Diceros bicornis minor: one gene and its partners. The protein of the gene in region 2 interacts with the protein of the main gene of each other region in a biochemical or structural test. Links are inferred from orthologs where the notes say so. Each region holds a gene or a part of one and is shown on either strand. Other genes may lie near its edges. The genes, in order: PRKN, PICK1 and GRM7.

What was found.
Region 1: the proteins of PICK1 (region 2) and PRKN form a complex in vitro, tested with the Homo sapiens proteins (3 studies listed by BioGRID and IntAct, with this or other methods). The link is inferred for Diceros bicornis minor from reciprocal best matches to the Homo sapiens genes PICK1 and PRKN.
Region 3: the proteins of PICK1 (region 2) and GRM7 form a complex in vitro, tested with the Homo sapiens proteins (2 studies listed by BioGRID, with this or other methods). The link is inferred for Diceros bicornis minor from reciprocal best matches to the Homo sapiens genes PICK1 and GRM7.

Annotation. Positions count from the first base shown.
Region 1 is NC_080778.1:7,907,488-7,915,569, forward strand, and holds the start of PRKN (E3 ubiquitin-protein ligase parkin), read left to right. Parts: upstream 1-5,046; 5' UTR 5,047-5,140; coding exon 5,141-5,147; intron 5,148-8,082. Other genes in the region: PACRG (parkin coregulated gene protein), read right to left, coding at 4,421-4,576. UniProt on the Homo sapiens protein: Functions within a multiprotein E3 ubiquitin ligase complex, catalyzing the covalent attachment of ubiquitin moieties onto substrate proteins. Substrates include SYT11 and VDAC1.
Region 2 is NC_080764.1:11,767,772-11,775,285, reverse strand, and holds the start of PICK1 (PRKCA-binding protein), read left to right. Parts: upstream 1-4,420; 5' UTR 4,421-4,624; exon of another isoform or gene 4,625-4,677; intron 4,678-4,683; exon of another isoform or gene 4,684-4,774; intron 4,775-4,914; 5' UTR 4,915-4,971; coding exon 4,972-5,012; intron 5,013-6,442; coding exon 6,443-6,554; intron 6,555-7,514. UniProt on the Homo sapiens protein: Probable adapter protein that bind to and organize the subcellular localization of a variety of membrane proteins containing some PDZ recognition sequence.
Region 3 is NC_080741.1:73,028,428-73,035,933, reverse strand, and holds the start of GRM7 (metabotropic glutamate receptor 7), read left to right. Parts: upstream 1-4,468; 5' UTR 4,469-4,480; coding exon 4,481-4,589; intron 4,590-7,506. UniProt on the Homo sapiens protein: G-protein coupled receptor activated by glutamate that regulates axon outgrowth through the MAPK-cAMP-PKA signaling pathway during neuronal development.

The DNA of each region.
Region 1 (8,082 bases), on a different chromosome or scaffold from region 2:
ACTGGGATACACAGTAGAAAACAATGAACAGGATCAGTTTCCATCTTGGTTGACAAAGAGGGAGAATTAGGGAAGCCACCTTGAAGCAGCTGGCTTTTCAGCTGGCCGAAAAAGTATAAGCTCCTTGAGGCATGCGTTCTGCCTCTTCCAGACTGCTCGATTCCCAGCACCTAAAACAGCGCTTGGCATAGTGATCAGTAGATATTTGTTACCTAATGACGGAAGGAATTTGTGTGGGCTGGGAAGGATATGCAGGGAGAAGGGCATTGGTGCAAAGGGAACAACGTAAGCAAAATCACACTAATGAAGCGTTGCAGTTTAATTTGGCAGAAGCGAATGAGAACAGTGGGAGATTGAATTAAAACCACAGAATGGGGTTAGATCACAGAGGCCTTGCCGGTCCTGGGAGGTACCATGATTTTTTTCTATAAGAACTGAAGAACTCCAAAAGCTTTCAGCAGCGATAAGAGGAGAACTTGGTACCAGAAAGGTGAGTGTAACAGTACTAATAGCTGATTGAGGCAATCAACCAATTGGTGGATGGAGGCTAGAGACCAGTTTGGATATGTTGTAAAAACCTGGACAAATGGTGATGAGGGCCTCCATCAGGTTATTGTCACTTGGTCCTTTCATCAGCAGTATTTCCACTGTACGAGAGTAGGTATTTGTAGGCTTTACCATAGATGTGTATTTATTTGTACTGTAATTATTTTATTTGTCTATCTCCTTTTCTTCACTAGCAATATTTAGCACTGGTGGTGGACACTTCTAATCATCCCCCAGCTTCCCTTTATTACAGTAATAAAACACTTCAAGTTTTAGCTGGACACAGAGCTACCAGTCAGAGACTACATTTCCCAGCCTCTCCTCCAACTAGATGTGGCCATAGACTGTGTTGGTGACGGATTTGAGCACAAGTGAGGAGTGCAACTTCTGGCATGTGCCCTTCTAAGGAAGCTGCTTGCTCTCCATTTTTTCCTGCCTTTTCTTGCAGGTTGCTCCTTACCCATTTTTCTCTCCTCCTGCATGAAGTAGGAGCTGGAGACTATGCTCTTTTGGAACTACACAACTGGCTTAGCCCTTTTCCTGATGAAACAGGTACGAAGGTCTGGAGTTGTTCTAAGGGTCAATCTTTCAAAGGCTTTTGCAAAAAGGGAAAATATAGGCCTGTGACTAAATTCTAGCCAGTGGGATGCGAGTGAAAGTGGGTGCTGTGTTTTGGGTCACGCCCATAAAAGGAAGCCCTCTGCTTCCTCTTTCCTCCTTCCTGAGGATAGGGATCTGACCCTGGTGGTGGTGAGCTCACCTTGACCCACGGCATCATCCTACAGGATACAAAGCAAGAATATACAAGGCTCCTATGTCTCTGGATCTATCTCATGGGGAAGCAGTGCCCAACCTTCTGGATAATCTACAAACCTGGACTTGTATATATGAAAGAAACAACTTCCATCTTAGTTAAGCTATTGTTATTTGGTCTCTGTTAAAGCAGCCAAGTCAATATCTTAATATATGGTTCATAAACATTAACCATTACCACAATGTGTTGAATGAAGATATGATTCGTAAGTATAAAAGTTTCTATATAAGTAAAGAAATATTACAGTATTATTTCTCCCATTCCCATAAACTTTGAGCTTAAAAAAATCTATCGTCTACTGAAAAGGAAAGCTATAATATAAAGCTTCAGTTGAAGTCAACTTCTCTATCATCATAACCTTTGGCTCATATTCAAACTTGCTTTATGATAAGGTAGATTAGCACAGAAAGCATCTACTGTCTATTGAGATGAAGTCAATACAACACTGGGCTACAGGTTTCTGGTTATGGGCTCTATCATGCCACAAACAAGGCCTTTAAAGGGAAAAGGAACTATGAACTCTTCAAATTCTATATCTCCTATCATTCTTTTCTGTCAAACATTATAACAATAAACATTTGAATATTATTCTCTGATTGCAGAACTTGTGTCATTGCTTGTTTCCACTACAGAAGGCAACAACAATTTCAAGGAAGTAAAGGAACTACTTACTACTGAAGAACAGCATATGCTATTGGAATTTAAATAACCAGCCATTTACATTTATCATTATTTTGTAATTAATTTTGCATTGTCATATATAGATTATGACTGTTTAAATAAAGATTTCTGCTTGCATAGCCCATCTGATCAAATCTGTTTATGATCGAGTTTGTAGCCTTATATGACTACAGCACTCTTAAAGAAACATTGGGAATCTCCATAGAACTCCTTAGGGTATGGTTCTATATGTCTTTCGTGGAGGAGCACCAGAATGGTGACATTTAATTAGCAAGTATTGGAAAGAAGGAACTGAAGGCAAGTCCCAATACTAGAAAAATGGTTTAGGGCTTCGCTTTTGAAACAAGAGGTTGTAATTAAGACAAGCTAGAGATTGGCATATTATTTTCTAACAGAAATAAACCTTAAGAAAGAGGGGTATTTTGACTTTATAATGCCGAAAGGTTTATACGGTTGAAGACAGAAACAGTGAAATGTAAATACTGGGTATGAAAATGAAAGGTTTTATTTCCTGTACCACTGAAGTTAGTTTGCATAAACAGTACTGTTTATCTCTCTTTCGTCAATACTTTAGTGTTGTTGTTGGCGGTGGTTTTCCTTGGAGTATTAAGGGCAGGAACTCTATTTTGCTGGTCCCAAACCCCAAAGTTGTGCTTAGCAAGTTCTTAGTTTAGATTAAAAAAAAAAAAGGTGTTGTTGATTGAATGAATGAGGGGACGAGTAATGTTTGTCTCTAACAATTATGATTTCCACTAAATGAAGTGAAAGAATGACATCCTATTTTGAGGATCCCAGTGGAGACATAGATATTACACTACAGGATTTTCCTTAAAAATATGGCAATAAGAAGATAATTTATCTCAAATAAGTTGTTTAAAAAGAAGGCTGCTTCATAATCAACGGTTTTTTGAGTCCTGTAAGCATATTTGTTACACTCGGCAATACTGAAATACTTGATTTTCCAGAATTATGATTTTAAGTATAAGGCTATGTTTTAAAAAAAATAAACATGATTATGAACATGAGTTTAAAAAAAAAGAGGAAGAATGTGACCAATTTTTTTACGTCTTTGAAAAAGTATAACATTGAAAAAAATCACTAAAATTATAATTATAAACTCTGTTTAGAAGAAAAGCAAATAATTAGCTTTAAGGTTATGATACATTGTATTGCTGATAAATGAGTCGTCTTGGCTCTCATGACCACCTATTCACGTGAAATACAGGGAGAAAGACTGCAGTTACAACAAGCAGAAGTTTTACTCTATTTCCAAAAATTTTAACTACTGTAAATCAACTGACACATTCCAACAACCAGAATATCATTTTGTGTAGCAACATGGGAATCTGGCCTAGTGGTCTAGAAGTAATATGTTTCATTCATGTGTTTTAAGGATGTGGTTTAGAAAGAAGGTATTAGGTTTACAACATTTACGTAAAACAAATAACGTGACACTGGAAAGCAACATTATTCATTTAACATAATGAGTTGCTATACAATAAGTCAGATCCTCCCAGAGTGTAAATTACACAAATTTGAAAGCTGTATTTATTATTTAATACCTCATTCCCAGACAGCTGCTTACCCCGTGGTAAAACTTGGTTTAGCATACCAAATTTAAAGCTGTTTTTTTTCCTATACCTATCGTGCATGTAGCTAAACTATTTGTGTGCAATTTAAACCTTTTTCCCCCAACGGTATTGATAATATTTTCTTTTTACTACCACAAAAAATAGAAATGAAATACGAATTGTAGTAACAGAGATACTTGAAGTGAAGCTTGGCTTGTTTAAAATTAGCAGTTTAAAAGGTCTATCTGGAAATAGACTTCATATTCAGGTGTCTTTCAGTACTCTAACCTGCTGTTTTCTTTTTGTGAGAAACAGTGCCCTTAGAGTAAATGCTAGGATATTCTAAAATTTCCTAGGCTGAATTAATGAGATTTCCTATTGTAGATTATTTAATATTTATGTTTCCAGCTGTACATCAGCACATGTAAAATTTTACAAGAGAATTTAGGATTTCTAAGAACTCACTTTCAATGAGGCTTTTTGCTGACTGGGCTAGTTTAGGAATCAACAAGCAAAGTGGATCTTTCTTCTTTGTGTAAATAGTTTAAGAGTGATGTGCGGTGGTCTAGAAACCATGAGTTATTAGGAAGGTGCTTATAAATGGGTATAGTACATCACTTGTCCAAGATCCTTTCTAACAACCTATCCTGGACCTCCACACTCTGTTGGGCACCATCTGCTACTGGCTGAATAATTGCCATTTTTGGCAAAGACCACCCAGGACATGGGCTCCGAATCCATCCTAGGGCCAGCCAGCCTCTACAATCTGATTCGGAGCGAGTGCATTCAGTTTAGAAAGATCACTTACGACTGAGTTTTTCATCATGGCTTTGACTGTGAAGCCCTCAGAAACCCGGGAGTGAGGCTGGTGCACCGGCAGCGGCTGTTGTGCCAGCAGCTTGGTCCTCTTCGGCATCTTGTCTAGGCATTTGTTTAAGCTCAAGGTCTCTTTTTCTGCCACCATCTTCCTAGAAAATGTCTTGTTCTCATAAAACGTGTAGTAAAAGAGTCAGTGGGTTTTACGGATGTGAGAAGGAGGTCGGGAAAAAATGTAAAAAGGCGCGTTAATGGTAGAACTTCAACCCCCTCGTAGTGCCCAGGTTGATCCAGATGTTTGGCAGCTCCTAGGTGAAGGGAGTTGAGGGGAGGGGAGGGGCGGGAAGAGGGCTGGACCGTGGCTTGAGCTGCAACAAGCTTCTAAAGGTTAGCCTCCCGGTTGCTAAGCGACGCGTCAACACGGCGGCCGAATGGTCCCGCCCCCCGTGACGTACGTTTCCTGGGCCTCAGTCCCGACGGGCGGCAGGCGGCGGGAGGCGGGCGGGGGTGAGGAGAAACTACGCATTAAAACTACGACTCCCAGAAAGCCCCGGGCTGCGCGCCGTTCGCGCTTGCGCATTCCTACGGCTGGGCACAGGGAGGGGAGTCTTGGACGATTTAACCCCGGAGCGCCGCTGGTGGAAGGCGCGGGTGGGCTTCGGTGCCCTGGTAGTCCTCGCCCTGTCCGGCAGCCTCCACCTGCCCAGTGACCATGATCGGTACGTGGGTGCCTGCCAGGTACAGCCTCTCTGCGCCGTCCCGCGCCCAGCCGTGGCGCCACGCCGGGCCTCGGCCGACGGGGACCCCAGGGTGCCTGCCAGTGCCAACTGTCAAGGGCAGGGCGGCAGCGTCCGCGCCGTCCTCTGCCCGCGCCGGCGGCTTCCCAGTGCCCGCCCAGTGTGTGTTCTAAGCCCCCACCCCGCCCCTGCTGTGACAAGCTTCCCACTGAAGACAACCTGGCGAGGGACCCTGGGGTGCTCCTCCCCAGGTGGACGCTGGGTTCCACTATCCCACGGCGAGTGCACTGCTCAGTCAGACCTGTGGGGGTCCGTGGGAAGGCCTTCCTGTCCGCCCCCATTTCCATCCCTCAGGGAGACTTGGTCGGTGTCTTCCAGTTTAGGACAGATTGGGACCCACTGTCTGTAGGATTCTTTAAGGGAGACCCTAGCGAAGCATTGACTCTAATGGAAGGTACCTGGTGATGATGGTTGTCATCAAAAGAAATTCCTGCAGGTGGATTTAAACTTCTTGCTCCCTGCGATTTTTTCTTTTAAATCTCTCATTGAAGGTCTGAGATGAACGATTAAGAGTAAATCATAGCAAGGGTTAAACCTTTTGCATAGTGAATCATTAATTCACTATGCAAAAGTTTTTTTTTTTTTTTTTTTTTTTCCAAACACAAAATAACCTAGGTGCATTTTTGTGAATAAAGCTTTGGAAGTGGCTACTAGAATTGTTTATAAGCACTGTGATGTATAAGATTAGCAAAGTTCCTCTCTTCCAGGGTTGTTAAACCAAAAGTTATTTTAGGGATTATCTCTGAAAATTAGTGGAAATGCACAATATGATTAGAAAACATTGCTAGTTTGGAGTTTATTATGACAGAGACTTGTTTTAGATTATGCATTGAAGATTTAGTGAGTTTATTTTAGGATTATTCTTGACAGGCGCCACTTACAAAACACTTTTGATTGCAGCGAGTGCATCTGAAGTCAGATGTGGTTTGTCCAGAAAGATGAGAGGTGGATTTTTAAAATATGTAAGTTTGTATGCACTGATAAACTCTTCTTAAATCTTTTATTTATGAAAATAATGTTAAAATGTAAAACATTCTACCTGTAACTAGGAGAATCATGCCAGTTAACTGACACTGTCTTTGCGGCAATGATAAAACCTAAAGATGTCCAACTTTTCTTACCTTTCTAGCCTGGTATAACTTTTGGTGAATGACTTTTGAAAGCTGTCAAATTAATAAAAATGTGTAAATATTTAGGAATCTTTTGAACCTTTTTAGGTGGCAGTTACACAAGATCCACTTGTAAACACAAATCTGATCTGAATCAGAAAACCAAGTAGAAGTTTTTCAAAATCCATACTATCACTATTTTATAGGAAAAAATAGTCTATACCTTATTTTAAAGACAATTGCACAAATTTTAATTCAACTTAATGTAATGCATGAATAATTTTAAAAGAAACATTTATGGTAAAGCTATATAAAGAAGACAGGAACTTAAAGATCTAAAAATCAGGGGCCGGCCCCGTGGCATAGCGGTTAAGTGTACGCGCTTTGCTGCTGGCGACTCGGGTTCAGATCCCGGGTGCGCACCGACGCACCGCTTGTCAGGCCATGCTGTGGCGGCGTCCCATATAAAGCGAAGGAAGATGGGCACGGATGTTAGCCCAGGGCCAGTCTTCCTCGGCAAAATGAGGAGGATTGGCAGATGTTAGCTCAGGGCTGCTCTTCCCCCCACACACACAATAAATAAAGAAAGAAATATTTAAGAAAAAAAAAATCTAAAAATCATCATAATTCTAAATTCTAATAAATGATTATATGAATAACTTTATTAGGAGGAAATATGTTTAGGCAGTTTAGTTTTTATTTGGGATTTAGGGCCACAAGAAGGAAGAGTACGGTGTGGTTGATTAGACGATGTCTAGTAATGACATGGAGAATATGAGGTGGATTTAAAAGGCATTCTTTCCCATACTCCAGCTGTTGTTTTACATAGTGCAGATAAATGTGTGTTACAACATAAATAATTAAATCCATGCCCCTTCCCAGGACAAGTACCTTCCATATAAAACCATGTGGACAGTGTGCAATACATTATTTTATACAACTAGTTGCATTGCCCAATTCTGTTGGTGGGCATATTTTAATAAAAATATTAACTGCCAGTTTTGGACTTGGTTGTGTTGAATAATGGTAAAGGTTAGTGAAAGTGGAAGCAAGTGAAGGGACATCTTAGAGGGATGGGTTTCCTGTTTCCGCAACTAAACTTTAGAGCCAAGAAAGATGTGATAGTCTCTGCGCAGTGATAAGCTGGAGAACAAATACACATGTATCTGGGGATAGTTTTTTCTGCTAAAGACATGCGTGCTACTCATACTTGCCCCTTTCATGCCTGTGCTCTCTTTAATTGCTACACCCTCGTTAATGCAAATAGTACTCTTCTACTTTATTTGAATCTTCCATCACTTTTGAGGAAAAACAAAAATGGGTTTCTCAGTGGAATAGGAGTAAAGGAGATTGACTATTACCTCACTACCAATAAAATTACCTTCCTTTTACTTTCTTAAAACCCGGGATTCCTTCTTGGCACGGAGACTGTTTCCAAAGTACTTACATTCCCCACTTGGATTATGATTGATATGTTAAATGCCCTGACCCAGACAGCTACAGAAACATAATCTAATTGAAGTCGATGAAAAACTATAACTTTGTGAGAAGTGTGGAGAAGGACTTGAGGATAATGTAAAGCAAAATAGAAAAGCTTAAGAAAATTCAACTTAGAAAAATGTAATTTTGGACACCTCTATTAAAATTTATTTCACCCTTTTTTAAAATTAGCAATTCTTTGTATTTAAAATTGAATTTTAGTAGTGATATTTGAGGTATATTCTAAATGTCCTGCAGAACTGGATTCA
Region 2 (7,514 bases):
CCACCCACCAGCTCCCCACAAGTCCACAATCACACTCCTTCCCACTGGGCTCCCCTTTGATTTGAGGCCCTGCCCAGTGCTCTGAAGTGGGAGGTGTTACCTGGGCTCATCGCCTGCCTCTCCCAGCAGGTGAGCCCTGTCACGGCGGGGTATGACTAGTGTTCCCTGACGTGTCCTTGTGGCCTGGACACGGTAGGTGCTCCATACACACTTATTGAGTGAATGAATGAATGCGTGAACGAATGCACCGCCTCTAAGGGCCGTTGTGAGGGTCACGTGAGAGGGATGGAGACGCCTGGCGCAGGCCCGGGGCATTGGGGTAGAGTCCCACTGTCAGCCGCTGGGATTCCTGTAGTTATCTGTTTGATTTTAAAGCCCACGGTCTAAATCTCCGTGCTGACGATGAACTGAACCGAGCCTGCCCAACCACTCCTGGTTTCTTGACCTTTCCAGGGGCCTGGGAAGCCAGTGGTGAGTCAGCGAGGAGTCAGGCCTCATGCTGGAGCCACAGCAGCGCCGAGGGGCGGGCACGGCAGGCACAGCACAGCACGTGCATGACCAGCCTCACCATGGCCTCGGACAACAAAGACTCCTCCCCAGCCAGCCCTGAGCTGGGCCTGGTGGTGACAGCGACAGGAGTGGAAAGTGGGGGGACTCTTGCCACCGCGGGGTGCCCCAGGAGGTGTTTCTCCCAAAGGCCACTGGGTGGCAGCACTTCCCCAGGAATATGGGGTTAAGGGGACAAGCTTCTTTGGGATTGAATCTGAGGCTAGGGAACCTGAGGGAGGGAATCTTAGAGAAGACCGAGGCTCAGAGAGGGGTTGGGGCCTGCCTGGGGTCACAGAGCTTTCAGTGGCAGGGCGGGGCCAGGGGAGAGGTCACCCGCCTGCCTGGACAGACGCAGGAGCAGAGGTGGGGAGGAGAAGGAGGAGGAGCAAGCTCGGAGAGGGACGGTCTGAGCACCAGCCCTGGCTCAGCCTCCGGGAAGAGGGGGGATGTCCTCACCCCAATTTCAACCCCCAGAATCCTACCCATCCTTGAGGAAGGTGCTCAAACCTCCCCTCTGAGGCCCTTGCTGACCCCTCTCATCTGTGACTCTGGCCGAAGTGGCAGTTCTCTCCATGCTCCCACCTGATGGTGGCCTCATCACGCCTGTCACCACCCCCACTGTGTGTCTCCCCCACCACAGTGATTCCCTGAGGACAGGGACTGTGCCTTGTCCCCCTATCGCCTGCATCAGCTGTGCCCTCTGCTGGGTCACCTTGCCCCTCTTCTTGGCCTGGGTCCCACCAGCACCTCCTTCAGGACTCAGCTAAGATGTCACTTCCTCCAGGAAGCCTTCCCTGGCCTTTGGCCTGGGCAGAAGCCCTGCCTCTGGGCCCACATAAGGCCCTGGCTCCTCCTGGATGGTGAGGCCTCTGGGGCCAGGATGGTTGGTGGATCTGAACGGGCCCAACCCAAGCATGCACAGACACTGCATTCTGAGCGTGTGACACAGTGGTCCTCAAACTGCAGTAGGCCTCGAAGCCACCCATGGAGCTTTGTGAAAATGCAGCCTCCAAGATGCCCCCTTCCCCAGAGACTCGGATCCGATAGGTCTGAGACAGAGCCCAGGAATCTGCATGGGAGACACTTCCCAGACGAGTCTGATGCCGGGGCCTGAGCATCTTAAGGCCCTCTAGTGTGCCATCGGCCCTGCCCTCTGAAGGAGTTGGGCAAAATGATTATAATGAGGAATGACGATCAAAACCTCTGACATCTGTGCCAAGTGAGTCACTCCCAAGGCACTTTCACACCGTTTCTCCTTTCTATCTTCATCTGTATAACTTCTGTCTTGGGAGGGATCCTCATCCCCCCTCTACAGACACCCGAGGCTCAGAGGCAAAGGGTGATTTTGCCCAAGATCCCCTAGCTACAAAACAGCAGAGCTTGGATTTGATCTGGGGCTGTCCTGAGGTGGGAGAGCTGCAGTCTGTGTTAGAGCCTCTGGGCTTGGAGGTTGCTGTTTGTCAAAAACTGAAATTCAAAAATTCAGGACCAATAATTGGTCTGGTGATTCCAGTCCTGTAGAGGAAGCTCAGGCGACTGCCACGGTCCAGGTTCAGGCCCTCATCTCTCTTTCCCTCTCTGTCCATCCACATCCTCTCCTCCAGGGCCCAGAGAACATTCCCTCCCACATAAAGCCACAGTGATATCAGTGGCTCTTCACCCACAGCCAGGTATTGTGCCAGGCTCTGTGGGAGATACAGAGCAGGGCAAGGCCTGCTCCAGGGGCTTCCTGCCCACCGGAGGACAAGAAGTGTTTAACTTCGTGATGGAACATGGTACTCGAACCCTCTTTCCCCTCAAATAAGTACACGGTCCCAGCCTCACCCCCTTAATTAGCTGGAACAGGTTCCCATGCTGTGCGGGCTGACCCAGGAGGCCCCCTCCACTGGCAAATATAAAGTGGGTCATAATATTTTCACAGGCATTACAGAGCAATCAGATTTTCTTCTTATTTGTCACAGTGACACCTGTGGATGGATTCCTAGCATCCTATGGAAGGGGCAAGTGCCAGGGATTAGAAAGTCAGTACAGAACGGGAACTTAGGAAGGAGAGAGACAAGGAGAAGCCGTTTACAATTTGTCAAGATATGAGCCCTAAGCCCCAATTTTAAAGGGGAAAAAAACCTCCCCAGACAAAATACAATCATGTAATAAGTTAATTAACACAGAATTGGCTCAGGGAAGCTATGAAGGGATTTCACAAGGCCACACATACTTAATTGCCAAATGAGTGACTCAAATAACAACTGTTTCAGGAGCTCAGAAAAAGGGGCAAGATTTGTGAGCTGGGATTGTCTGGTAAGGCTGCCTGGAAAGGGTGGGTTAGAGCTGGGCCTGGAACACGGGAAGTTACCAGGCAGAAAAGAGGGTCTAGGCATCTTGCCCTCTCCTGGGAAGAGGGGCCGGAATGGGCTGGGGGTCAGGAGGCTCAAGTGGCAGCTGTGCCACGTGAATTGTTTACAAAGGACTCACACCTGTTTCTCCTTTTTCTCTTGACCTGCACAAGTACCTGTTGAGATGACCATTGTCCCTGGGCTGCAGACACCTGTAGCTCAGAGTCAGGCGGTGACTCGCCGAAAATCACTCAGCTACAAAATGGCAGAATCTGGGCTTGATCAAGGGTCTGTTACGGGTGGAAGAGCCACAGTCCGTGTTCAAGTATCTGGGTTTGGAGACTGTGCTTTTTTAAACTGAAATTCTGGCCTGCAAACGGGGCTTGAGGTTCCAGCCCTAGCTCTGCCACTGACCACCTGTGAGACAACCGGACACTGCTTCTCTGAGCCTCAGTTTCCTTAGCTGCACAATGTGGCTGGCAATCCTTGTTCTCCTCCCACAGGGTCATGGTGAACTTTACAATCCTGTGAAAGTGATCTGAACTGCAGAGCACTGGGTACATGGGAAGGTCATTGTTATTGTGGCATTCTGCACATTTGCTGAGACTCAGATTAGCCCCCTAAGGAGGGGGTCCAGGGGAGCTCCCATCAGGCTACGGGATATGTGGATAATCTCTTTGCATCTTTCCTTTCTCCGCTGCCCCTGGCGGCAGCCAGGAAAGAAGCTGGATGGGTCTGGGCCCCTGCTGCCTGGATGAGGTGGATGCCAGGGCAGTGGCTCTGGGAGCACCAACCCCCTCCAGGGAATCCACTTCACACAATAGCAGAGGTTGGCAGGGAGACGAGATACAGACTCCTTGGCAAGGAAGCACTGATGGCATTTCCTGAGCCTCAGGTACATGGGGGCTGTGACCCTCAGTGGGACCCCAGGGAAGCTGCTCCTCAGGACTAAGGTGGGGGATAGGGTGAGGAGTCTTTTACCAAATACCATAGAAAGCATCTGCCTCAATGCTCTTAGTTTGCATATGGGGAAAGGAGGCACGTAAAGGGAAGGGAAGGGAAGGGGACTGTCCAATCTGTCGTTAATAGAACCACTGAACACAAGTGTGCAAGCGTTGAAAGGGCACGGGACTAGGCGGCAGGAGTCTCAGGGTCAAGATCTGGATCTTAGACCAACTGTGGGTAGCTCTGGACAAAATCCCTTCCCTCTCTGGCACTTAGTTTCCTGATCTGCAAAACTGGGATTAGCCTGGCATCTAGGAAGGGTCCTTTCAGTTCAGACACTGTCATTCTAGTAGAGGACTCACAGCACCCTAGGACGGGGTGCTGAAAATGTGAAAGGGAAGGCCTCGGGGTTTGTAGTCCACCGAACTTCGCCAGAGGTCTCCCTGTCCAAAGATGCTTCCGTTGCCACGGCAACCGCCCGGCCGGCGTGGTCCCCGGCGTCCCGCTGAGGAATCTGGGAAGAACCCTGCCCTTACCAAGATGGCGGCGGCCACAGGGCGTGGGGCGGGGTTGAGCGCTGCCGCCTGTCCAGACCTTTCCTCTCTTTCCGCTTTTTCCTGCTAAGGGCGAGCTTCCGTTAATACTTGTTGTCCTTCCTGGTCCTGGGAGCCCCGGGAGCCGGGGAGGGAAGAGTTGCCTGCAGGGATTGGGGCAAATACCCACGGCGGGAAGGCGGGACTTCCGCATCCTGACGGAAGTGACGCGACAGTCGCGGCCGCAGACAGGTGGAACGGCAGGTGGGTTCAGGTGCCAGCCTGGCCAGGACCTGGCTGTGGGACCGACGCTTCCGGTGAGCGACGGAGGCAGCTCCCAAGGGCCTGGGACCCGTGGGGCGGGCTCTGGGATCTGAGCCTTCCGCCCTGGCCTGGAGTACCCCCCTGTACCTCGTAAGAATCACCTCCCCACTGCCCCACCCCGGGACTCCGGCCATCCTCCAGAGGGGCGGGGGAGGGCCCGGCTTTCCCGGGGTTGGCATCTAGGCACTAAGGTTCCCTAAACCCTACGCGTTTTTCTCTCCCGGCCCCAGTTCCCCATTCCCTTGCCGAGCTGGGCAGTTAGCCAGCCCACCTCAACTCTCGGAACCATGTTTGCAGACTTGGATTATGATATCGAAGAGGATAAACTGTGAGTATTTCGTTCCCCGAAGTCCCAAGAGTGCAGGAGCCCCAGGTCCCTCAGGTTCCCGGATTTCCCAGTTCCCCAGACCCTTGATTCGCAGAGGGAGATTAGGTCTTGTACCGAAGCAGAGATGGACCCTGCCCTTCCAGGAGCACACCATCTGTAGGGAGCTGTGAGAGATCATTGAGAGATGATTACAATTCAGGGCCATAAGGGCGCTAATGGAGAATGACCAGGCTCAAGGAGAGCAGAGCAGATGGAGCACTGCCTCTGCTGGGGTGTTCAGGGAAGGCTTCACAGAGGAGGTGGCAATTGAGCCAGGTTCTGAAGGATGAATAGGAATATCGTAAACATACTTTCCTCCCCTGTACAGATGATTAGTGGGACAGATTTTCAAAAATTAAGTTGGTCTCCTTATTAGAATATATCCTCCCTCAGAGCAAGGATGGGGTCCAATGCCTTTCTGTGTCCTCAGCACTTAGTAAGGTGCTCAACATCAATAGCAAATGTTTGCTGTTAGCAAATGTTTATTGAATGAATAAGTGAATAAATGAGACTATTTACCACAAAACATAAATAAGTGTTAATTTATAGTGAAAACTGAGAGGTAACTGAGTAGAGCAATTGAGAGATGGATGACGGATAGTTTAACAGGAGAAGGCTTCCCAGAGGAGGTGGCCATCATGTTCCATAATGAGAAGGTGACAAGGACAGAGTCTGACTCAAATCTCAGAGGTAGAAGGAAGGAAAAGGAAGGGGGACCTAGGGCCGGCCCCGTGGCTTAGCGGTTAAGTGCGCGCACTTGGCTACTGGCGGGCTGGGCCCGGATCCCGGGCGCGCACCTACGCACTGCTTCTCCGGCCATGTTGAGGCCGTGTCCCACATACAGCAACTAGAAGGATGTGCAACGATGACATACAACTATCTACTGGGGCTTTGGGGAAAAAAAGGAGGAGGATCGGCAATAGATGTTAGCTCAGAGCCGGTCTTCCTCAGCAAAAAGAGGAGGATTAGCATGGATGTTAGCTCAGGGCTGATCTTCCTCACAAAAAAAAAAAAAAAAGGAAGGGGGACCTATTTTTATGGCGTGCCTGCTCTGGGCTGGGTTGGTGTTAACTGCCTTCCATGCACTTTCTTACAAGAACTTTGATAAAGCAGCCGTTTTTATCCACACCGTTTTATGAACGAGGAAACTGAGATGCAGAGAGGGTGACTTGGCTGATGAATGGCGTAGCTGGGATTTGATCCCACATCTGCATGACTCTAAGAGCTGTGCACGTCCCAGCACAAAATGCTGTCTTTTTGGCCAAGTGAGGAAGAGAAAAGGCTGTGCAGCATTTAGAGTCTCTCGGGCGTTTTGGAGGGCCTGTCCCCTTCCCCATTTCCTCCAGTGTCCTTCCTCGAGGACATTCAGCTTCATGTGCTGCTCTTTTCAGCGGAATCCCTACTGTGCCTGGGAAGGTGACCCTGCAGAAGGATGCTCAGAACCTGATCGGGATCAGCATTGGAGGAGGGGCCCAGTACTGTCCCTGCCTCTACATCGTCCAGGTATTGGGTGCTTTGGAGGCGGGAGAAGGTCCTGGGAGTGGCGAGCCACCTCCCTCCTTGGGCATGACAGAGGCAGGTTCATTTCTCCAATCTGCAGAGCTGGCTCCTTCTCACTCTTGAGGTCTGATCTCCTCGGAGCGGCCGTCTTGACCACCCCCTCTCAGTGGGTCTCCCCTTGCTTTTGTCTTTCATTTCAGTCTGTTCTTTTCCTTCTCAGCGTTTATCACCATCTGTAATCAGGGACTTGCTCATTAGTTGTTCTGTATCTAGCTGCCTTTCTAGACTCTTTGCAGTGTGAGGGCAGGATCCCAGTTTGCTTTTCCATTGCAGTCAGCACCTAGTACAATGCATGGCATATAGTGGACCTTCAATAAAAACATCTTGAATGAACGAACAAAACCACCAGCCTTGGGTACTAGCGCAAGGGAAGTGTGGTAGAAAGACTAACAGACTTTGAAATAATAATGGACGAAGTTCAAATACAAGTTTCCCTGCTTATTAGCAAGTTACTTTACCTCTCTGGGCCTCAGTTTCTTCACCTGGAAAGTGGGATGTAAAATATGTAGATATGAGCGTCTTTGGGTGGTTATGATGATTAAACAGAATGACGTGATGCAATGCCTGGCGCCTAGTAAGCACTCACTGCATGGTAGCGGCAGTTGTCGCTCACTGCTTTTTATGGCAGTTGTTCAGTTTCCCAGGTGACCAACTTTGTGGTCCTTATAGAAGCTGCTGCCCTGGTGATGGTCTGTCAGCTGTGACTCAGGAGCCAGGGACAGTTTTCTTCCCTGTGTGGCTGGTCGGAGTCAGGGATCTTTCTGTAGCCTTCGAAGGAAGCTTGCCAGCTCAGACATAAACTTGACCTGGATTCTACCATGTTCGAACCTTCTCAGCTAAGTAGCCCTTGGTGACAGGAAACTGCAGTCTCTTTGAGGATCTTGCAAGAGAGTCGCTTCCAGG
Region 3 (7,506 bases), on a different chromosome or scaffold from region 2:
AATTCTTCCAATCCAAGAGCACGGAATATCTTTCCATTTCTTTGTGTCTTCTTCAATTTCTTTCAGCAATGTTTTATAGATTTCGGTGTACAGATCTTTCACCTCTTTGGTTAAGTTCATTCCTAGGTATTTTATTCTTTTTGTTGCAATTGTAAATGGGATGGTATTCTTAATTTCTCTTTCTGCTACTTCATTGTTAGTGTATAGAAATGCAACTGATTTTTGTATGTTGATTTTGTATCCTGCAACTTTACCATATTTGTTTATTACTTCTAAAAGTTTTCTGGAGGATTCTTTAGGGTTTTCTATATATAAAATCATGTCATCTGCAAATAGTGACAGTTTCACTTCTTCCTTTCCAATTTGGATCTCTTTTATTTCTTTCTCTTGCCTGATTGCTCTGGCTAGGACTTCCAGTACTATGTTAAATAGGAGTGGTGACAGTGGGCATCCTTGTCTGGTTCCTGTTCTTAGAGGGATAGCTTTCAGTTTTTCACCATTGAGGATGATATTAGCTGTGGGTTTCTCATATATGGTCTTTATTATGTTGAGATACTTTCCTTCTATACCCAGTTTATTCAGAGTTTTTTATCATAAATGGATGCTGTATCTTGTCAAATGCTTTCTCTGCATCTATTGAGATGATCATGTGATTTTTGTTCTTCATTTTATTAATGTGGTGTATCACGTTGATTGATTTGAGACTGTTAAACCATCCCTGGATACTTGGAATAAATCCCACTTGATCATGGTATATAATCTTTTTAACGTATTGTTGTATGCAATTTGCTAGTATTTTATTGAGGATTTTTGCATCGATGTTCATCAGTGATATTGGCCTGTAATTTTCTTTTTTTTTGTGTTGTTTTTGTCTGGTTTTGGTATCAGGGTAATGTCGGCTTCATAGAATGAGTTAGGGAGCTTCCCCTCCTCCTCAATTTTTTGGAAGAGTTTGAGAAGGATAGGTATTAAGTCTTCTTTGAATGTTTGGTAGAATTCTCCAGGGAAGCCGTCTGGTCCTGGACTTTTATTTTTGGGGAGGTTTTTGATTACTGTTTCTATCTCCTTGCTGGTGATTGGTCTATTCAAATTCTCTACTTCTTCTTGATCCAGTTTTGGAAGGTTGTATGATTCTAAGAATTTATCCATTTCTTCCAGATTGTCAAATTTGTTGGCATATAGCTTTTCATAGTAGTCTCTTATAATCTTTTGTATTTCTGAGGTGTCTATTATAATTTCTCCTCTTTCCTTTCTGATTTTACTTATTTGTGCCTTCTCTCTTTTTTTCTTGATGAGTCTAGCTAAAGGTTTGTCAATTTTGTTTATCTTTTCATAGAACCAGCTCTTGGTTTATTAATTTTTTCTATTGTTTTTTTGGTCTCTATTTCATTTATTTCTGCTCTGATTTTTATTATTTCCGTTCTTCTACTGATTTTGGGCTTTGTTTGTTCTTCTTTTTCCAGTTACTTTAGGTACATTGTTAGATTGTTTATTTGAGATTTTTCTTGTTTGTTGAGATAGGCCTGTATCGCTATAAACTTCCCTCTTAGAACCGCTTTTCCTGTATCCCATAAATTCTGGCATGTCGTATTTTCATTTTCATTTGTCTCCAGGTATTTTTTCATTTCTTCTTTGATTTCTTCGTTGACTCAGTCGTTGTTCAGTAGCATTTTGTTTAATCTCCACGTATTTGTGGTTTTTCTGATTTTCTTCCTATAGATGATTTCTAGTTTTATACTGTTGTGGTCAGAAAAGGTGCTTGGTATTATTTCAATCTTCTTAAATTTATGGAGACTTGTTTTGTGGCCTAATATGTGATCAATTCTGGAGAATGTTCCATGTGCCTTTGAAAAGAACATGTGTTCTTCGGTTTTTGGATGGAATGCTCTGTATATATCTACTAGGTCCATCTGTTCTAGTGTATCATTTAAGGCCAATGTGTCCTTATTGATCTTCTGTTTGAATGATCTATCCATTGGTGTAAGTGGAGTGTTAAAGTCCCCTACTATTATTGTGTTACTGTCTATTTCTGTTTTTATGTCTGTTAATAATTGCTTTATATATTTAGGTGCATCTACATTGGGTGCGTAGATATTTACAAGTGTTATATCTTCTTGTTGGATTGTTCCCTTGATCATTATGTAATGCCCTTCTTTGTCTCTTTTTACAGTTTTTGTTTTAAAGTCTATTTTGTCTGATATGAGTACTGCTACCCCAGCTTTCTTTTCATTGCCATTTGCCTGGAGTATCTTTTTCCATCCCTTCACTTTCAGTTTGTGAGTGTCTTTAGGTCTGAAGTGTGTCTCTTGTATGCAGCATATATATGGGTCTTGTTTTTTTATCCAGTCAGCCACTCTTTGCCTTTTAATTGGAGCCTTTAGTCCATTGACGTTTAAAGTAGCTATTGATAAGTATGTACTTACTGCCATTTTTTAACTTTTTCTTTCTCAGTGTTTTAGTAGTCCTTCTCTGTTCCTTTCTTCTTCTATACAGAATTGGTGGTCTCTTTAGTTTGACCTCTGTCTGCAAGCTCTACGCTTTAACTCCCCTCCTCCCTCCTTTTATGTTTTTGATATCATATCTAACCTCTTTTTTGTGCATTTGTATCCATTACCCTCTTATCATGGAAATAGATAATTTTTCCTATTTGTGGTCTTCTCTTTTCCCCTCAAATCAGTCCCTTTAACATTTCTTGTAGCGCTGGTTTCTTGGTGACAAACTCCTTTAATTTTTGCTTGTCTGGGAAATTTTTGATCTCTCCTTCCATTTTGAATGATAACCTTGCAGGGTAGAGTATTCTTGGCTGTAAGTTTTTTCCTTTTAGCACTTTAAATATATCATGCTACTCTCTTCTAGCCTGTAAGGTTTCTGCTGAGAAGTCTGCTGATAGCCTTATGGGGTTTCCTTTGTATGTAACTTGACATTCTCTTGCGGCTTTTAGGATTCTCTCTTTATCTTTAATTCTGGACATTTTGATTATGATGTGTCTTGTTGTGGGCCTCTTTGGGTTTATCTTGTTTGGGGCTCTCTGTGCTTCCTGTACCTGGATGTCTGTTTCCTTCCTTAGGTTAGGGAAGTTTTCATCTATTATTTCTTGAAATAGATTCTCTGCCCCTTTGTCTCGCTCTTCTCCTTCCGGAACACCTATAACACGGATGTTAGTGCACTTGGTGTTGTCCAAGAGCTCACTTAGACTGTCCTCACTCTTTTTAATACTTTTCTCTTTTACCTGTTCAGCTTGGGTAATTTCTTCTAGTCTTTCGTCCAGCTCACAGATCCTTTCTTCTGTATCCTCTACTCTGCTTTTGAGTCCCTCTAGGGAATTTTTCATTTCCAGTATTGTATTCTTCATTTCTGATTGGTTCTTTTTTATATCTTCCATTTCTTTGTTGACATTCTCACTGAGTTCATCTATTCTTCTCCCCAGATCATTGAGCCTCCTTAATACTCTTAGTTTGAACTCTCTGTCGGGTAGGTTGCTCATTTCTGTTTCACTTAGTTCCTTTTCTGGGGTGTTGTCCTGTTCCCTTACTTGGAATGTATTCCTTTACCTCCTCATTTTGCCTCTTTCCCTGTGCTTGTGTCTGTGTATTAGGTAGTTCAGCTATGTCTCCTGCTCTTGAATAGGTGACCTTATGTAAGTGATGGCTTAGGAGGCCTGCAGTGTGCTTCCCTCAGTTCTCAATGTTCCAGGGGTGACCCCTATGTGGGCTACGTGTGTCCTTCTGTTGTGGCCTGTTTGCTCTCCCTGTAGGCGCCCAGGTAGGCCGAGTTATGCTCCTGGCCAGCTGTTGTACTGCTCAGCTGCTTGTAGTTGTTGTGGGCCCTTCAGTCTCTTTATCAGGTGTGGGGAGCCCCAGCACAGTTGGCTGCAAGTTCTAATACCACATTTGTGTTGCATTATTTTTTTTAAGTGAGTAGGCCCCCAGCGTGGCAGGTTGTTAGGCTCAGGGCCTTACAATTGCTGTAAGCCTCCAGCCTTTAGGTCTCTTGTCAGCTCTCTGAGGATTGCAGCTGGGTGGGGCTGGCCTCAGGCATGGGAGCACCCAATTTTTTCAGGCTGTCCTTCCTTTGGAAGGAAAGACCTGTGTGGGTCTTTGAGAAGCACAAGTCTTCTGCAGCTGACAAGCCCTGCTGCCCACAGGTCCACACACACAGTCAACACAGTCCTGCCCCTTGTGCATGCCCCGACCTCCCGAAGCGAACCCAGTGTCTCCGCTGCGGGAGCCCCACACACTCCACCACCGCCCCACACTCTCCACCCACTCCTTGTGCACACTCTGCCCCGCTAAAGTAGGCTCAGTTGCCAGGCTGCAGAGAATCCAGTCACCAATCTATGCAGGCCCACAGGTTGCCTGAGGGCTTGTTGTTGGGTGGGGCCAGTCTCTAGGGTGGGCTGCCTGCCCTGGCTGAGCTGGATTAAATCAGTGCTCTAGTGGTTGGGGCAGACCTGGGCCAGCAGGCCTCAGGGAGAACTCCAATGGTGTCTGTGTCAGCATGCCCACACCAGGCCACAACAATGGCCGCCGCAATGTCCCAGTCCCTGGAGAGGTTTCACCTCTCACCGAGATGCACTCAGGGCCTATCAGGTGAGTCTCTTTTCACCAAAGCACTGTGCACCTTTCTTTCTGGTGATTTTAGGTTGCTTTCTGAAACGGGTGAGTTTGCGCGTGGGCCCTTTAAGAGCCGGTTTTACTTTCTTGTGAACCAGCTTTTCTGGGGGTACTCCCCAATGTTTTAGTAGCAGGTAAAGTCAGATATTATGCCACTCATCTCGATTGTGCTGAGTCCACAAAATGCCCACAGTGGGGGTGCTCCCCGGCTCAGGGCCCTACTCCTCCAGGGAGGCTGCGTACCTGTGGGCTGCTCCAGGGCGGCCGTGAGGCGCTGCGGCTTGTGAAGGTGGCGTTTTTCCTCTGCAGAAGGGAGTTTCTGCCTCTTCTAACTCAGTTAGGATTGTCCGTTGTTGCAGAAGTTCCTCTTATCCAGTTTTCAGTTCTGTCTCAGGGGTAATTTTTCCACGAGTAGTTGTAAATTGGCTGTGTCCGCGGTCAGAGGTGAGTTCAGAGTCTACCTATGCCGCCATCTTGACTTCTGCTATATCTAAGTTTTCTTCTTTAGATGTTATTTTACTATTTTTTTATACATTTAATAACCTTTTCCCTAAATAATTAATCTCATCCACATTGCAGATAGAAATGCCCAAGAGCTTCCTTTCTAACAAATCAAACATTTTCTTTTTCATAATTGAACTGTGGTAAGTGATTGCATTTTGCAAAGAAAACAGTATTATATTTCTAGAGAATGTATGACCTACAACATATCTGCTTTAGCATACTAGAAGGTTTGAGTTACATGAACTGATCTCTAAAATCTTTTCCAATTGGAATTTTCCAGCTGGAGAAGTTGAGATTCAAGAAGATTTTAGGATGAGCAGTGTAGTTTAATGCTTCACTATGTCATGATTTAGCACCTCCTCATATATTAGGATAACCTCCATCTCTGCTGCACACTCTATCTCTGTTGCTTAATTTCTCATTAGTTGATTGACCTGCTCAGGCAAATGAATAATATATAGCAAGACCATGCATTCATAAAGTATCTAGATAGGATATGTTTTGTATATGTGGTTTTCAGTTCCTAGATATTCTATTAGTATTTGGTTAGTTCCCCCTCTGTGACCTAATTAAATTTCTTGAGGATATTTTGATAGCCTCATTTGAATTAAAGTGAATCACTCAGACGTTACCTTCTATGAGTGTAAACATGAAGCATTCTACATTTTGTAAATTCAGATGGCTTTTTATTGAAATCCAGAAGCTGAGGTTTTGGCCTTTGTGAGATGATTGACCATATGAAATTTTCTGTCTTTAGGCTGCCTATAGTTCTGGGTAACTGGCTCTACAAAAATCTATAAACTAACTCTAGCGAGTGTCAACTACATAATTTTCTACTTACAGATTTATATTCTATGCATTTTACAATTGAAAGTGTTCAACACAAACATTATATTAAAGCTTTCTCTGCCTTATTAACTGGTTAATTTAGAATATCACATTGATTAATGTTAAATGCTTAGGTTTGGGAACAGTTGGCTCAATTTTGTTCCACTGAGTTTTTTGTTTTTCATGTCTTTATCCTTCTAGGTGCTAAAGGACACTGAAGTTTTGATTGTTGGCGATGTCGTCATTTATTTGATTAGAGTTTATCTTATTAGTGTTTCAGTAATATATATAAAGTAGAATAAAGTGAGTCCATACGGGACTGAGAGACTGAGGTTTAGTTTTTGAATATTCCAAAGCAAAAGTTTTCATATCAATGAACCAGATCTAAAAAGCACTATATTCTGCCTCTTTTTACACTATCCCTCCTTCTCCTTCATTCCCCACCATTGTTTAATTCACAGATTATTATAACTGGAAAGGTCTTTAGAAAGTTTTCTATTCAATCTTTTCATTACAAGATAAGAGAAAGGACATCTCTAAAGATTAAGAGTCTTGTCTATATTAGCTCTGTTGATCATTACTAATACTAAGTCTTCCACATAAGGTTGTAAGAGTTCTTGAAAGGAACTTAAAACTTCCTAAGATAGTTTCTTTTCCATTCTTAGAAGCGGGTAGAGAGTACACATGCTTGGAGAAATCCAGCCACAGTTCCGTCCCTGTATCCTGTAATTATTGGAGGGGAAAAGAAGGAAGAAAAGAGGCTCCTAAGAAGATGGATCAAAGTTTCCTAGGGGGTTCCTCCTTTCCACTTGGATTTTATTTCTGTCCTTTAGAGTTAATGCCTTTAAATGATTGGCAAGCCCCTTAGGTTCATAGTTACAAAGTATCTCCTTGTCTATTTATCTGATGTAACTGTGTCAGAAAGAGACCAGCATCTGCCAAGATTTAGGCTCCCTCTGCTGTGGTTTGGTATAAAGCCATTGGTAATGGCTGTCCAGCAGGATACTAACTTTGTAGCTGCCACCACTACCATCACAGCATCCGTGCATTTGGGCAGGACTATATGAATAGTTTTCACCAACTGAGTAAGAGCAGAAAGGATGTCTCATTGTAGGAACAAAATGGTGAGAAACAAGTGTACATTCTCTGTCCTTTTATACCTTCCCATTCTCTCTCTGTTGACTGGGATCCAAAGGAATCTGTGGCCATAGGAGTCACCAATCTACACAGTTGAAGGAATCATTTTAGAGAAGAGAGCTGCCCATGAATCAGGAATGTCTTTAATGAATTGTTACAAGAATGATAAATAAACCTTTGTTATGTTAAGCCACTCCAGTTTTGGTGTTTATTTGATTTAGTCACCAACATTACAGTGACTCAAATGGCTTTTTGTGTTAATCATGTCAAATAAAAGTAATATGCTTATTCCTTTTACTGCCTAGATATGTTTCTCTGTGTCTATAAATGAAGAAATAGCCTTATTTTTATTGTGAAAAGTAGGAAAGAAAAAAATGTTATGGGGAAAGATAAGGTAGTATCTTTGAAGCATATGTTTATATTT